Notamacropus eugenii: one gene and its partner. The protein of the gene in region 1 interacts with the protein of each later gene in a biochemical or structural test. Links are inferred from orthologs where the notes say so. Each region holds a gene or a part of one and is shown in the gene's direction. Other genes may lie near its edges.

Region 1 (7,611 bases):
ATGAAAATCTTAAACTAAATGACAGACATGTTCTTGAATTATGTGTTATGTTCTTTCATCTTTTCAGCCTCTAGGGGGAACTGTGTTTTCAGCAATCCTTTCCCCAGGAGGCATTCTGTGAATGAGCAGCAGGCTTCATAAGGATGTTCTTCAGTATTACTTGGAGCTGGTTAAATGAAGGGTGGAGGCCTTCCTTAAGAATTGAAGCTGGCTGCAAGATTTAACAATTACAACTGTGATTCCAATGATGGGTTACTGTAGAGAGAGTAACAATTGGTGGAGACAACCAATCTGTTTCTAATAGCCTTAAAAATGCTATCCTTGATAATCTCTATAGAATACTAGCTCCAAATGTTTTAATTATTACAGGAAGGATGTAGTATTGCCATAGTAGATAGTGTTTTGTTTTCATAGGTCCTTAAACAAATGATAAACAAATACTCTTTAGAAAAGTTGTTACCCTTGTCTTCTGGTTTCGTGATTTAAAATGTTATACACAATTAATTAAATGATTTCTAAATGTTATGACATTACTATTCATTTGTGTCACAAATTAAATATGGAGGCTGCATAAAGTATTCAAATAGTCCCCCCACCCCCAATTAATTTTATTCTGCTTTGGAGCATGTTCTCAACATCTATTCTGTAGTTTCATATGCTTTTCTGACAGGAGAGAAAAAATGTGCTTTCTCCTTTCAATGTTTCAAACAATTTCAGAGAAGCATAATTTTAAAATTGGATCCTTCAGGGATGTAATACTTCTATTTTGTAAATAATATTTGTCATTCATGTAATAAACATAGTACAGCATCCTATCACACCACAATAGCCTACATTTATATGGCTCTTTAACATTTGCAGAGTGATTTCATATAAAATCTTACTTGAGCCTCATAACAACCTTGATAGATAAATGCTATTATTATTCTCATCTTATAGAGGAGGAAACAGATGGAGGGAGGTTAAGCAATTTGCCCAAAGTCACAAGCTAGTAATCATTTGAGGCAGCACTCGAACTCCAAACTCTATCCACTGTGCCATCTAAACATTCTACGTATTATGGTTATTATTGCTTTTTTTAAATAAAGCGGGAAGCACCTCTCCTTGAAAGCATCATTACAAGAGAACTCCACTATATACAAAAGATTGTCTATTCTTTTACATGTTGGAATTTGGTTTACATATTGTAATTTGGCTCATATACCACCTATCAACAAATAATTCTAAATTTTGTCCATGGTCAAATGGTCAGTGTGTGTCCAAGACAGGACTTGAATCCAGATCTTCTCAACTCCAAGGCCTTCCCTAAATCCAGCTAGGTGGTGGTGCCTGTTTAAAACATGCAGGTGTGAGAATACAGACAAGTCACTTAACCACTCAATGTCTGCTGGAAGTAGTCTCCTAATCCAACTCTGTCACTATAAAAGAGAGACATATTATTGATCAGAATAGGTGGAGGGAGTTTCTGCACTCAAAATAGCTCACCGATCAAATCACAGGTTTGGACTAGTAAATAATCAAATAATTCTCAGAATATGAAAATGAATATGGAAATTAGAATTTTCTCATTACACAGAGATTTGGGGCTGTTCCCTGATGTTATATCAGGGGATGGGATTAGATGATTTCTAAGACCCATTCCAAGTTTAAGACATGACTTAATGTGTGTGTGTGTGTGTGTGTGTGTGTGTGCATAATGACAAGTCATATTTATACACTGATACTTATGTAAACTTCTTACTGGTTTTCAAACAGTAATTTGATATGAAGTAAATAATTCAACAACACTAAAATGTACATACTTTACCACTGATATTTATAATTAGTCCTTTACCTGATTTTATGCCAATTTCCGTTTGTCTAATACTGTTGATAAATCCCAATTTCTCTTCAACATTTTCTGAGGGATGTTTTGAAAAGGAGGAAATTGAATAATATAAACTACTCGTTTAATTATTTAGTTTATTGAAGTACAGTATGCAAAATTTCTCCTTAATTTCTTTTATCTTTTAGATTCCTTTAAAAGTTTACAGATGGGTTATACACTCAAAATGAGGCATTCCCATTCAAAACCTCCAAACTGAAAGCTCTGGTATTAAGCTGAACTTAAATGCACTGCCCTGACAATGACCTCCAGGCTAAGTTGAGAAGACCATCTATCTGTAAAGTGAGAGGCAATTCACTCATGCCATTTAAACCCTGGGCCTCTCTCTTTAAGACTTAAACAACAAACTGGAGAATTACTTTGCCTTTGACTGTGCTCATCCTAGGAAGCCATAATATGAAGAATAGGATATTTCATATTCTTTAGGATCTTCAGCTTAAAATGAGAAATTCATTCAGTCTGGAACTTAGTTGTTGATTTCCTTCAAAAACCCTATGTCTAAAATTGTCTAATAAAGTGCATTTGCAATTATTCGGTTGTGGATCTTGTCCTGGTCCTTTGCTTGGGATAAGGGGCATAAAGAGGAGGAGTGTTCATTCCGTTGTATAGTGAACTCCCATTACAGAAACTCTTTCTACCTTTACTAATTGACACCTCTACAATCAGATTCTGATTCTGGGGTTCAAAGCTATACATTGATTTACTGGGCTACAAAGAGTCAGGGGCAAGGCTTAAACCCATATGTTCTAGACTTTAGAGCCAGCTCTTCAGTCACTATTCCAGGCAGCCTCTCTTGCTATTAAATATTAGGTGAAATTAAAATATTTTAGAGTGACTTTTAAGTAGTTTTAAATTTTAACATACTTTATTTTCCACTAATTACATGTTAAAATAACTTTTTGACATTGATTTTTAAAAAAAAAAGTTTTGAGTTTCTAATTTTATCCTTCCCTTCCTTCCCTGAAGTAGTTTTTTTTAAATAAGAGATTTCAAAGGAGTAGGAGACAGTTTATTACTTAAAGTTAGATTCTGAGATTAGATTGCAATTAACTTCAGTTAAGCATACTTTCTATTCTTTCAATTAGCATAACGAAGAGTTGTATTAATTAGTTCAGCCAGAGGAAAACAAAGTTATCAGGAAGCACTTAATTATAAATACAAATAGAAACAAGAATTCTAGTCTGGGAGACAAAAATGCAGAGCCTGGAGCAGTGGTGCAAAGGTTACCAGCCATATTAATTTTTCTGCCGAAAGAGGGCGTTTTCCTGGGATTAATAGGGGGAAAGCTTTAAGTTTCTTTAAAGTTAAGTGAAAGTATTCAAACGAAATTCTGATGGTTAGTATTTTTCTAATTTGTGGAATTAAATTTTTTTAATCTCGTAGAGGTAGTGAAGTACGTGACCCAAACAAATAATGTTTTACGTGTACATATACCAAGGATAAGAATGCTGAATTCTATTTGAATACGCATGGAAAGCATGGATTTCCTGACTTGATAGTCAGGCCACTGCCTTGTATGAAATCCTTTCCATTCCTGCCTTTTGACTTGCAAGAGATCAGGACTTCGGACCTGTTATCTTTCTTTCTTCAGAGCTGCATCCTCTTTTGCAAAGGTGGGGGAATGAAAGATCCCCTTTATGTGCCCATAAAGTCCTGCGGACGTTTTTTGGGCGGTTTGCAAACATTTGCCATATTCCAACTGCCTATGGAGAAGCGGAATCACGGGCTGGAAGTCACCCTCTGCAAGCAAAAAGTTTCGCTTCCCCTCCCCCCCACCCCACGCGCTCTTCTTTGGGAAAGCGCTCCTTGGTTTCACTTGGTCTTCACTCCTGGGAAGAATATATGCAAAGAGAAGCGCCCGCGCACTCCGGAACCAGAGGAAAGGCAGAATCTGCATAGGTGGAAAAAACGGGTAAGTGGGGAAAAGGCTTAAGGCAGTTTCTGCCGGGAGAGCATAGGATGCGGGCCGACCTCCAGAAATTGGGCTTGGCTAGCTTGTGTCCCAGGTATGTAGAGGACGCCGGGATACTGGATTCGCCTAGGTCACTTAAGAGCTGTGAAAGCAAACTTTTTTCTTTGGGCTCCCCAACTCAAATGCCAAAGACCTCTCAGCCTCAATAGAGCTCTGGATAGTAGAGACAGATAGACAGTGGGCGACATAACTCCTCCTCCGGACTTAGGGACCCCCTCCTCCCCCTTCAGTTGCATTGCCTGAAAGAGAGGGAAGGAGAGAGGGGAAAGAGGAGAACGCGCGCGCTCTAACGGGGAGACCCCCGAAGTTTCCTTGCCAGTAAAAGTCAGACGAGATCTTGATTAGTTGTTACTTTTGCTTGGCGCTTGTGTATTTATTTGCAAATTAATTGTATAAGGATCTTTAGTCAGTAGCTTTTGAGCTGAAGCGGTGGCGCCTGAATTGAGCTGCTGTGTTTTGGAGCGAGTTGGAGAACAGAAAAGGCGCGTGTGCACTGTGGATATGAACTGAGGGGAGATGAGTGTGTTACGTGTGCTGCAACTTTAAGAAAAAGGTCGGGGTGGTGGGTGGATTGAGGTTGGGAAGGAGGGAGGGAAGGGGTGTGGGGAGGAGTCCTGATGTAAGAATGCTAATGAGAGGCTCCCCTCCAACCCCCCGTCAACCCCCCACCCTACCCGCTCGAAATACAAACCCGTTCTCGCAGCTCCATGTGTGGTAACAGGCTCGTCCGCTACCACACTATTTAAACAGAGGATATGTATCAAGGAGCAAGGGAGAATCAATGAGATCAAACGGGAGGCAGATGCTCCGTCAATTACAATCACTTGGACAAGTTTAATTTTTTTTTTTTTTTGCAAGCCATTCTTTCAAAATCAATCTCAACAACGTCCAAAAAAAAGAAGTCACCTCTAGGCAAAATAGTATATAGGAGGAAAGAGAAATATCTATATAACATACTATAGGGTCATAGGTGTAAACTTAAAAAAAACTGGTAACATTTTAGAGAAGGGCCCTTTTTCCCGTCACTTGACGGTAGAAGGGGAATTCTGTTTTCTTAGGGCACCCAAGGGGGCGCAGGGACTAAGGAGGTAGAGGAAAGGGAGGGGGAGAAGGAGGAAGGTGGTGGGAAGAAGACGGGCTAAGGTGAGTGACAGAGATTGCTCTTCAGCGCAATGCCATCCTTTTTGTTACTCAGTTTCTCTTCTTGCGCTGTGCTAAGCTGGGCGCTCCTGGCAAGCGGCGGCAGCAGCAGCGGAAACCGAGGCGGCGGGCTCCCTGTGGTGGAAGAGACGCAGAAGATCGAGGTTCTGGTGCTTCTACCCAAGGACAACGCTTACATGTTCTCCTTGGCCAGGGTCAAGCCGGCCATCGAGTACGCGCTGCGTAGCGTGGAGGAAAATGGGACTAGGAGACAGCTGCTTCCACAGGGCTACAGCTTCCAGGTGGACTATCAGGATTCGCACTGCGGCAACCAGGCACTCTTCAGTTTAGTTGATCGAGTGGCAGTGGCCCGGGGGTCTAAACCGGACTTGATCCTGGGCCCGGTCTGCGAATATGCTGCAGCACCTGTGGCCCGGCTGGCGTCGCACTGGGACCTGCCCATGCTGTCTGCCGGAGCTCTCGCGGCTGGCTTCAAGCACAAGGAGAGCGAGTTCTCGCACCTTACCCGTGTGGCACCCGCCTACGCCAAGATGGGAGAGATGATGCTCGCCTTGTTCCGGCATCAGCAGTGGAGCCGAGCTGCCCTGATCTACAGTGATGACAAGCTGGAGCGGAACTGTTACTTCACCCTGGAGGGGGTCCATGAGGTCTTCCAGGAGGAGGGTTTGCACACATCCGCCTACAGCTTCGACGAGACCAAAACCCTAGACGCTGAAGAAATCGTGCGCTACATCCAGGCCAGCGAGAGGGGTGAGCTAGAGGAACGTCCCCATCTAGTGTACCTTTTAGCCCTCTCCCATCCCGCATCCCAACCCTCTCTATTCTACTCCTTGAACATTGTAAGGGCACCCCAACTTTTCCCCACTTTCCCTGGCGCTGGGAATGCGGAAAGGGGTGAAAGGGATGGAGATATGCAAAATGTAACTGCAGAAGTCTAATCATTCTAGCTTTGGGATGAGCTTTTTCCACTGGCCCATGTATAAGCCCTCTCCACCTCCTTGGTAGAGGACGAGGAAATGTGTAAGGGCATAGAGGGGTGTAGGTGGGGAGATAGGAAGGAAATCTATTCTCTTTCCTTCCCTAGGTCTGGGGAGGGGAGGGGAGAAGCGCAAAGACCGGAGGGTTTTCCTGTCCTGAGGACTTATCTTGGCTTTCCCTTTCCCTTCCTCTCCCTTAAAGTTTGTGCAGTGTTGGTTAGCTTTCCTAATGCCCCGTTTTAAGTGCTTACCCCCTTCCTCCCCCCTAGTATGCTTGTCAAGTTGTCCCATTTCCCTTCTTCCAGCTACTATTCTATTTCCTTTAAAAAGCTCGATTGTATTGATTTTTCCTCATCCATCTCCTGGGTCTTCCTCCCTTCGCCCACTCCACCCTTCTTAACAAATACGTTTCCTGGGTTTCCACTCAAAATGCGTCGTTGCGTCCTGGCAACAATCAACATCCCCTTTAGATTCCTGAGTGTTTCCATCCCCGAAGATTCCAAATAGGGGCATCTTCAGGTCCCATACTTGCTGGAGAATCACTCGGAGGTACACATGGTTCCGACTGTAATAATAATTTGCTTCTTAATAAACAAATGCCGAAATTGGCAAGAGGTGAGAAATGAGTTACGTGAGTTGGTAGGTGCGAGGGAGAAAAGAAGGGGTTTCAACTTCTTGACCACGAATTTCAGGGGAGAAAGTGAGATTTCCCGGAGAAATCAGGCAGGGTGCCTAACCATATCCGGATAAGGGCACAATGCGCCAAGGGGATGTCGTCAGCTAATTCTAGAACACAGAGCCACCTCTCCGCCTTCCCCTTATGCCATTGCGCCTGGAATGTAGGTGGTGAAATCTTGGCACTCTCAGCCCTGGGAACGAGACACGTGAGACTCGGGCCCTCTAAAGGTGCGTAAGCTGGCAAATACATTTACCGCGGGTGTGGTTCCGCACACCTGAGCGCTTGGCTTGCGGAGCTTGGACTGAGAAGCACGGGCGCGTGGCCTGGAGCAGTTTCTGGCCCAGCCTCCGCACTTTGTCACCAGAATCCCGAACAGGTGGGAGGACTGCAAGAGGCAGAGGTGGCAGTGTGAGCCGTGCAGTTGATAGCTTAATATAGGGCGCTGGGCAGGTGGACCTCGTAGTCTAGATGGAAGAAGGGGAGGTTCTGGAATGCGAAATACGTGGCCCGAATCAAGCTTTTTCCATGTACATCTGCCCAGGGCCTGCCTAGGTAGGTACATGGGGCTAAATGAACGCTTAAGCCTTTAAGGTATACCATTGAAATACAGACATGTATATGTACAATACATACATATATTTACATATCACATACACACACACACCACCATGGATGGCGCCCAGCCCATTTAGCCAGGACCTTGAGCCGGCCCTCTCTCGGTCTGCACAAACCTCAGGCTATCCAGATTCGTCGGCATTTTTCTTGCCCTGTGGTGTATGGAAGAGGCATTCTGATCGAACTGCTTGCCACACATTTCCTACCGACCACACCCAGGACGTGAAAATAAACCCCTCCCCCTTTCTTCCCCACCCGGACCTGGCAGATCTCTCCCAAAGAGACTTGTAGCCCCGACGTCAGGACGGGCAGTAGAAGGCTG
Region 2 (7,850 bases), on another chromosome or scaffold:
TAAAGAAGAGCAAAATGAACTGAACCAAGAGAAGGATAGTAATAGCATCACAGTTTTAAGAACAACTTTGAAAGAATAAGTTATTTTGTCTATTGCAAATGCCCAAATCAACTATAAAGACACTATCTGCATGCAGAGAAAGAACTGATAAATAAAGGATGTATAGAATAACTTTACATATACATACCTATTTGCATCTAATAGTAGCCATCTCTAGGGTGAGGGGAGGGAAGGAAAAAAAAGAAAATCATTTACAGGATAATTTGGTTGTATATTTTAATTTGGTTCTATATTTGAAAGAAATAGCAAGTTGCACATAGTAGATTTGCAGTTTCTTGTATAATCTCCTGTTTTATTCTATAATTTAAAAATAAAAATTTTTAAAAATTTCAAAATTTTGAGGGGAAGTAGTGGTTAAGGTAATATTGGTGTTTGTCAGATAATTGACTGACTGAGTGAGTGAATGAGTGAACAAAGGAAATGGCCCTTTGTATTCCACTAATTAATTTTAGGCTGCTTTTGCTGACTGATATAGCAAAGGTTAGCAGGCTTCATCTCTTCTTCCCTCCCTCTCTTTTTTCCTCTCTCTCTCCTTTTCTCTTTCCTTCCTCCCTCCTCTCCTTCCTTCTTTCCTCCTTCCCTCCATCCCTCTCCATCAGTTTCCCATCAGCAAGGAAAGAAGTATGCCAAATGGTTACAAGACTGGATCATGCAGCCTGCATCTTAAGCCTCTCCTGATCTCTGACTTACTCTAAAAACAGCCTCCCCACTCTGTTTAGAATAAGATGGACCAGTGGAAGATCAGCGACCCTGAAAGACTCATAAAATACTAAGAAATTTTTTAGCAAGAGGATTGAAAACAGGACAAAATCCATCAATAACTCAAGTGAAAGGGAAAGATTGTTGGACTATGTGTGATTCAGAAGATTTGGTGCTGGGAGCTGGAGATACAAAGGGGGAGGGGTGGGGTGGAAAGTCCCTGCTCTTCAGAAGCTTATATTCTGTTGGGGAATGGAAAAGGGATACAATTTATGCAGATTAATTAGTACAAAGTAATTTAATTTTTTTAGAATTAAATTTTAATCATTTAAAAATTTTGAATTCCAAATTCTCATCCTCCCTCTCATCCCTTCCCCACCCATTGAGAAGAGCAACGTGATGTCAATTATACATGTGAAATCATGAAAATACATTTCTATATTAGCCATGTTGCAAGAAAAATAAAGTGAAAAAAATATGCTTCAGTCTATACTCAGGTTTCATCAGTTCTCTCTTTGGAGGTGGATAGCATTTTTCATCACAAGTCCTTCAGAATCATCTTGATTATTATATCGTTAGATCAGAGTAGTTAAATCTTTCACAGTTACCATATTGCTATTACTATGTACAATGTCCTCCCAATTCTGTTCACTTTTCTGTGCATTAGTTCATATAAGTCTTCCCAGGCTTTTCTGAAACCATCACTTTTTATAGCACATAGTATTCTATCACAATCATATACCATAACTTGTTTAGCCATTCCCTAATTGATGGGCATCCCCTCAGTTTCCAATGTTTTGACACCACAAAAAGAGCTGCTATAAAAATTTTTGTACTTACTGACTATAGTCCTTTTCCTACAAAGTAATTTTAGAAGAGAAAATGCTAATAATTCAAGGGATAGTCAGAAAAGACTTTATAAAGGGTATAGCACCTGAACTCATTCATATTTCACCTGTGGCTCTAAGAAACTGGAGCATGCTCAGCAGCCACTCCCCATAAACCATTTTGGCAGACAGGCTATATCAGGTTAAGCGGAACCAACAGGACTCATATCTAATGGTGAGTTAAGGGGATGTCTACCCTAAACATGAGAAGACTTCCTCCCAGTGGAATGGGTGAATGAGAACAACTTGTTCCAATGACCATGAAAGCAGCTGAAGCAGGAGCTGTGGAGTGCTTAGAGCTTGGTCAGACACAGAGTGTCATATACTGCATCCCAGGTCATTGGCAATCATCCAGACTTTTGTCTTTCCATTGGACTATGATGACTCTGAAAGAGAGAGTGAGTGGGGAGTCAAAACATCGCTGTGTGATGTCATTGGTGCTCTTTGAGATAAAGGAAGAACAAGAGCACATGGGCTGAGTTTTGATAGAAGCTTAAGATTCTCAGAAGTAGAGGTGAGGGATGAGGAAATCCCAGGCATGGGGGACAGGTTGTGCAAATGCATGGAAATGGGAGATGGCATACTGAGTTCAAGGAACAGCTAGTAGGACAGTATTGTCCTATATGTAAGTAAAATACATGAAGATTAATGATATGAAATAAATCTTTAAATTTATATGGGAGCCAGATTTTGGAGAGCTTTCCATTCCAATATTAAGAGTTAATACTTTATCCTAGGTAAAATAAGAAGCCACTAGAGATCTTTGGAGGGCACTCTTGCTTAACTGGTAGAAGATGGATAATAATCCTACAAAGCCGACTAAGATGGAGTGGTCAGAAGGATCAGGGCAGAATACTGTCATAGAAGCCAAGGGAATATAGAGTTTCTAGGAGAAGGATATTGTTGACAGTGGCAAAAACTGTGAAGATGTCAATTAGAATGAGGATTGTGAAAAGAGCATTGGATTTAACAGTTAGGAAATCAATGGTAAGCTTCTGCTGTTTTTCCTTCATTCTTGAAAAGGACCATGACATTAGGGAGGTAATGCCTTGCCATGCACGTGAATTGGAGTTAAATGAGGGAGGTCTGTGTGAAGTCGCCAGCTTCACTTTTTTCTCCGGAGCCATCTGGGTCCAGTGGCCAGATAGGGATCAGAACAATTAGAGATGACCCAGGATGCAAAGGGGGACCTCGACTTTTTCAAGCCATTTCCAGGTCTCAGTTTGATTGATCCAATGCCCATTCAGTGATTAAATTTTAATAAGAAATGAAGCAAAGAACAGCCTCTTAAAAAAAGAAAAAGATTTGTGAGGGGAAGACCCTCAATAAGGGATATAAAAACAGAAGTTACCAACAAAATGTTTTTAAAAACTAAATCATTGTTGTCCTCCCAAGGAAGTCAAGTGAGGGGGTTGGACCTCTGGAGTCCTTTGTAATTCTAAATCTTTGAGATTACCAAAGAGGAGAAAAGGGTCTGAACAAGGATTTGAGTGGAATGGTAGTACAGATAGGAGAGATATTTCAGAGGTAGAATTGAGGGAACATGGCAATTTTAGGGGGAATTAGCTTTGTTTTTGCATATTTGTGATGATGGGTTTTTTGTCTTTTCGTTCAATTGGTGAGAGATGGAAGTGGATTGAGAAAAACTGCTTTTTAAAAAGGGAGTCTGGCAACTGATAAATCAAGAAGCATTTATTAAACACCTGCTATAAGCCAGGCACGATGCTAAGAACGGGGATACAGAGAAAGGCAAGAGACAGCCTTTGATCTCAAGGAGTTCACAGTCTAAAAGGGAAGACAATTGCAAACAATTATGTAAAAACTAGATATGTACTGGGTAAACTGAAGATAATTTCAGAGGGAAGACACTAAGGTTAAGGAGGACTGGGAAAAGGGATTAGGGAAAGGAAGTCCTCAGCAATAATTCCAAATCCAGCACTCTTTGCACTCCACCATACGTAGAAAGTATGAGAGTAATTTTATCCCTCATTTTTGTTTTTCAAAATTTCATAGTAATAAATTATATTGCTTAAGGGATGGCGCAACAAGCCGAAGACTATCTATAGGAGTGATATAAAATCAGAATGCAAATTCTGGAAAACTCACATCTGTACCTGTGGGGAGGGGGAGGAGAAATGATCTGGCGCTTGACCATCTTCCTGTCTTCTGGGGCTGCCTGGTACTTGGATTTGTTTGCTACTTAACTAGGCTCCGAAATGTGACACAGTTCAAGGAGGGTTATGTGATGGACCGCCGGCACCATGGACAGCGGCAAAAAATGCCCAATTCCAGAGGGCCATAGTGACTAGATGACCGCAGGACCTACCAGAGGGATTTGAGAGAAAAATCAGTATGGGGGAGGGGTGGGGATACTGAATTCCTGACCAGAGCGGCCACCCCACCCCTTTCCTTGAAGCGGGAAGCTGACTTCATCCTGCAAGGTGTGCATGGAGGGAGGAGGTGACTGGAAAAGAAGATGATGTGAAGAACTTGGCCTGTTCTTGGTCAGCCTCTCCTTTGTCACTTTTCCCTCCCTCCCCGAAGGGTGTTTGCTCCCAGATATCTTCCTTCATCCCATCTCCAGTTAGATTCCTCTCAATTAACTCTTGTAGGACCCTTGAAAGAGGAAACTCCTAGGAGGCTTGGGGTCAGTGGGAGGCGAGGGGTGTGCTGAGCAGGAGAATTGCGTACCCACTTCTTAGTCCCATAGCTGTATTCTCTTCTCCTTCCCCATCCAAGAGAGGAGTCTTCACTGTCAGTTGTGCCAGTGAGTGTTGGGATGGGGTGTCCCCAGGGCTTCCTTGCCCTTGGGAAATTTAGGTGGAAGAGAACAGAAAAGGGAGTGTTTCTCTAGCTCGTTTCTATACAAGGCCATCCCTCTTTCACCAGTCCCTCACTCCCACCCCTTACATTCAGCTGAGACCCGAGTTAGAAAGAAAAGGCGGGGGATCAAGGAAGAGGGGGGCAGTACAGAGACTGTGTGAGACCGCGGGGGCGCATTCTCCGGCTTTGAGCTCAGCGAGGTCGGAATGTGGCTGATAAGTCAGAGATAACCCCGGGACCAGGAAGGGCAGGGGCAAGGCAAGGCAGGGCTCGGCTTCCAGCCACTGGGAATAAATAGCGACTGACCCAGCGAGTAGCCAGATAGAGAAAGCCAGAAGGGCAGAGAGAGGAAAGAAGTAGCATTGTCTGCGGCAGCAGCAGCCCGAGGTTTCTCCTTCGCCCTCCAGTCCCCTCCTTCCAAAACATGGACTCCCAGAAAGCGCTGCCCAGCATCTTTCTGCTCCTGCTCCTTCTGCAGCTCCAGGGCAACTTTTCCCATCCCTTAGACCGACCTCGCCAGGCTCGGGAGCTGACCGGGGTCCAGGTGAGCACAGCACATAGTCTACGGGTCAGCTGGCAAAAGGGAAACCCAAATCTGCCTCCTACTCCCACGCCCTTGCTCCGAGAGTTCTTCAGAACCACTGGGAAGTGATAGGTAGGGGTCTGGGATTGGGAGCACCAAGGGGAACCTCTGGATGTGTATCTCTATTCTCCCTCCTTACTAAGGGATTTCCGAAAGAATCATCAGACTGGCAAAGCCTAGAAGATACCCAAAGGTAGCAGAATGGCCCCTGAGAAGTTCGAGTAACCCTAGATTCTTAAGGTCTTGTTGGCGATGCACTGGGCGCCGGCGGGAGCTTGGGGAGGGGACTAGAAGAGCTGATCTGCAAGGGGGCTCACAATTCTTGCTAATCTGTCTCCTTTACTTCCACCATCCTTCCAGGAACTGCTGTACCGACTAAGGGACAAGATCTCAGCTTTGGAGGAGTTGGAGATGGCGGAGCCTGAGCCGAGGGAGCAAGAAGAGACCCCGGGGGAAGGCTGGGAGAACAGAAAGCCCGAACACCCACTGGTGCCAGAAGGCAGCCGTGTCCATAGGGTCTCCACCTTCCAGGCTCTGCGTGGTCTGCAAAGCCCGAAACTAATGCGAGAATCAGGCTGCTTTGGCAGGAGGCTGGACAGAATTGGCTCTCTCAGCAGCCTGGGGTGCAATGGTAAACACTCCTTTTCCCCTGCCCTGTCTCTTTTCTGGCTTAATATCCCCAGGTGCCCCCTCCCCACCCCCATACAGTCATAGAAGACCTTCTTCTCAAGTAGTCACTCTATCACTTAGACTCCATCTCATCTCCAGATTTAGTGACCAGAGAACAGAATTGGGGATAGAGGAATCCAGTAAAGGAACCAAGGTTACAAAATGCCATTCAGAGACACTTAGCTTGTCTCCCGCCCCCAAGGCTGGAACAAAAGAGAAACAGAGTGAGCTCAGGGGGACTGCGCGGTTCCCTGGGGAACAGCAGAGGCTTGCACAAAGATGCCAAAGAAGCTACATGGAGAGGGGAGGAAGAATCCCACAGATATACTCCTGCAGCCACTTGCTCATTTGGCTGGCTTTTAATTTTTTCTTCTTTTCTTATGATTGATCGACTGGCAAGTTTCCCCCACTTGGAGGGCACAAGCTGAATAGGAAGACATACTAAGGACATAGAACCCTTTGAAAGAGGACTCCTCTGCCCCCAAGAGACCCACATTCTAGTCCTAGGTCTTTCCTGTCCAAATTTAGAAAAGCTCCCTGTCGGTAGCATGGGAGTTGCTGTTGACACAGCAATGCTCCCTTATCATGTGGTTATTTTCTTTTATCTTTGCCTTTTTTATGGACTAGCAGAAAGATCCCTAGATATGCAGTCTGGGGACATGAGTTCAATTCCAGATACCTTCCATTTGTGGCTTTTGGGGAAAATCACTTAATTTTTCTGTGCCTCAGTTTCCTCATCTGAAAAATGAGAGGGTTAGACTCAATGGCCTCTGAGGCCCCTTACATCTTTGGATCCATGATTCCACAATTTGGTCAATGAAACATCCCATGATCCCCCTTGAGTCTTCTCCTTGTTTGTATCTGAGGTCTTCCATTGGCAAGGGCATAGTTCAGCTCTACTAACAGCCCTTGGGGTTAAAAAGGCTGCAATATTCCATTATTTCCATGATTCAACCATCCAAGCTCCAAGTGTCCCAGATGCTAAATGATTGAGTGTTATTCTGTAATGGCAGCCCCTGTGGGGAATAAGGGTTCATTCATTTTCTGCTTCCTAGTAATGCCCCCAAGCTTCTCATAGTTGCAAAGGCAGGAGATGAAATCGTTCAGTTGGATTGTTTTTCCCATTCTGCAATTGAGGAAACAGGCTCAGAGAGATTAAAGGACTAGAATAAGTTTCAGGAGTCAGTGTAGTTTAGAGGCTAGGACAGGAAAAGAAGTAAAGAAGGGGAGAGAGAGGCAAATTTCACTTTAATGCCAGGAAAAACTTGCTAATTATCAGAGCTGTCCTTTGGAAATAATGAGTTCTCCTTTACCAGAGGTCTTTAAGGAAAAGCTTGATAACCCTTTGTGGGGAAATGGTTTTTGCTCTTTTTGAATTACCTGGTCAATGAGGTCTCTTCCTACTCTGAGAATTGATGATCCTATGAGGTGATAAAGTCAAACAAAACCCAGAGAGAAAAAAAAAGAAAAATCGAGATTCTACTTCAGCTCTGAGCCTCCCCAGGAATAACCTTATTTTTCTCTTTTCTCCTCCAACAGTGTCAAGAAGGAACTAAGAAGTCCCAGCCACCTACTCCCTAACATCTAATTCTCACTGAGGCTTTTCCACCCCCTCAAAATGACTCCTATTTATTTGCATTTATTTATTTATTTATTTGGTTGTTTTGTATAAGCTGGTTTCTTACTTTTGAGCATGGAAAATTCATGGTTAAATAAAATCAGCCTGATTTTTTAAAATTTTGGAGCCATTATTCTTGGAACATTAAAAAAAATCCACCTACTTCCCTCTATGTGCCTGTATTTTATGAAAGATGCTGACTTGGATGGGACAAGGAACTTCAGTTTAGTTCATTAAGTGTTTATTAAATGCCCATTAGATGTTAGGTCTTGGGGTTACAAAGACAAAAGTGAAAGATCTGTTCCTCCAGGTGCTCACTTTCCACTGGGGGAAAAACCTATATACAGATAAATACAAAGCATCTGAATGACTGTAGTGGCAATGTGAGGATGCAAACATCCAAGTGTTGGAAGATTTTGGGGAGTCCATATTATAGGAGACTTCTAAATGCCCTGGAATCAATAGGAACTTCATAACCAGTTGAAATTTATTGGAAACTGCTTCAGGGAAG

The links.
Region 2: the proteins of NPR3 (region 1) and NPPB form a complex in vitro, tested with the Homo sapiens proteins (4 studies listed by BioGRID, with this or other methods). The link is inferred for Notamacropus eugenii from reciprocal best matches to the Homo sapiens genes NPR3 and NPPB.

Annotation. Positions count from the first base shown.
Region 1 is NC_092875.1:427,906,075-427,913,685, forward strand, and holds the start of NPR3 (atrial natriuretic peptide receptor 3), read left to right. Parts: upstream 1-4,556; 5' UTR 4,557-5,029; coding exon 5,030-5,768; intron 5,769-6,520; exon of another isoform or gene 6,521-6,591; coding exon of another isoform or gene 6,592-6,610; intron 6,611-6,689; exon of another isoform or gene 6,690-6,765; coding exon of another isoform or gene 6,766-6,901; intron 6,902-6,954; exon of another isoform or gene 6,955-7,165; coding exon of another isoform or gene 7,166-7,226; intron 7,227-7,611. UniProt on the Homo sapiens protein: Receptor for the natriuretic peptide hormones, binding with similar affinities atrial natriuretic peptide NPPA/ANP, brain natriuretic peptide NPPB/BNP, and C-type natriuretic peptide NPPC/CNP.
Region 2 is NC_092876.1:51,288,040-51,295,889, reverse strand, and holds NPPB (natriuretic peptides B), read left to right. Parts: upstream 1-4,781; 5' UTR 4,782-4,893; coding exon 4,894-5,013; intron 5,014-5,412; coding exon 5,413-5,683; intron 5,684-7,260; coding exon 7,261-7,277; 3' UTR 7,278-7,458; downstream 7,459-7,850.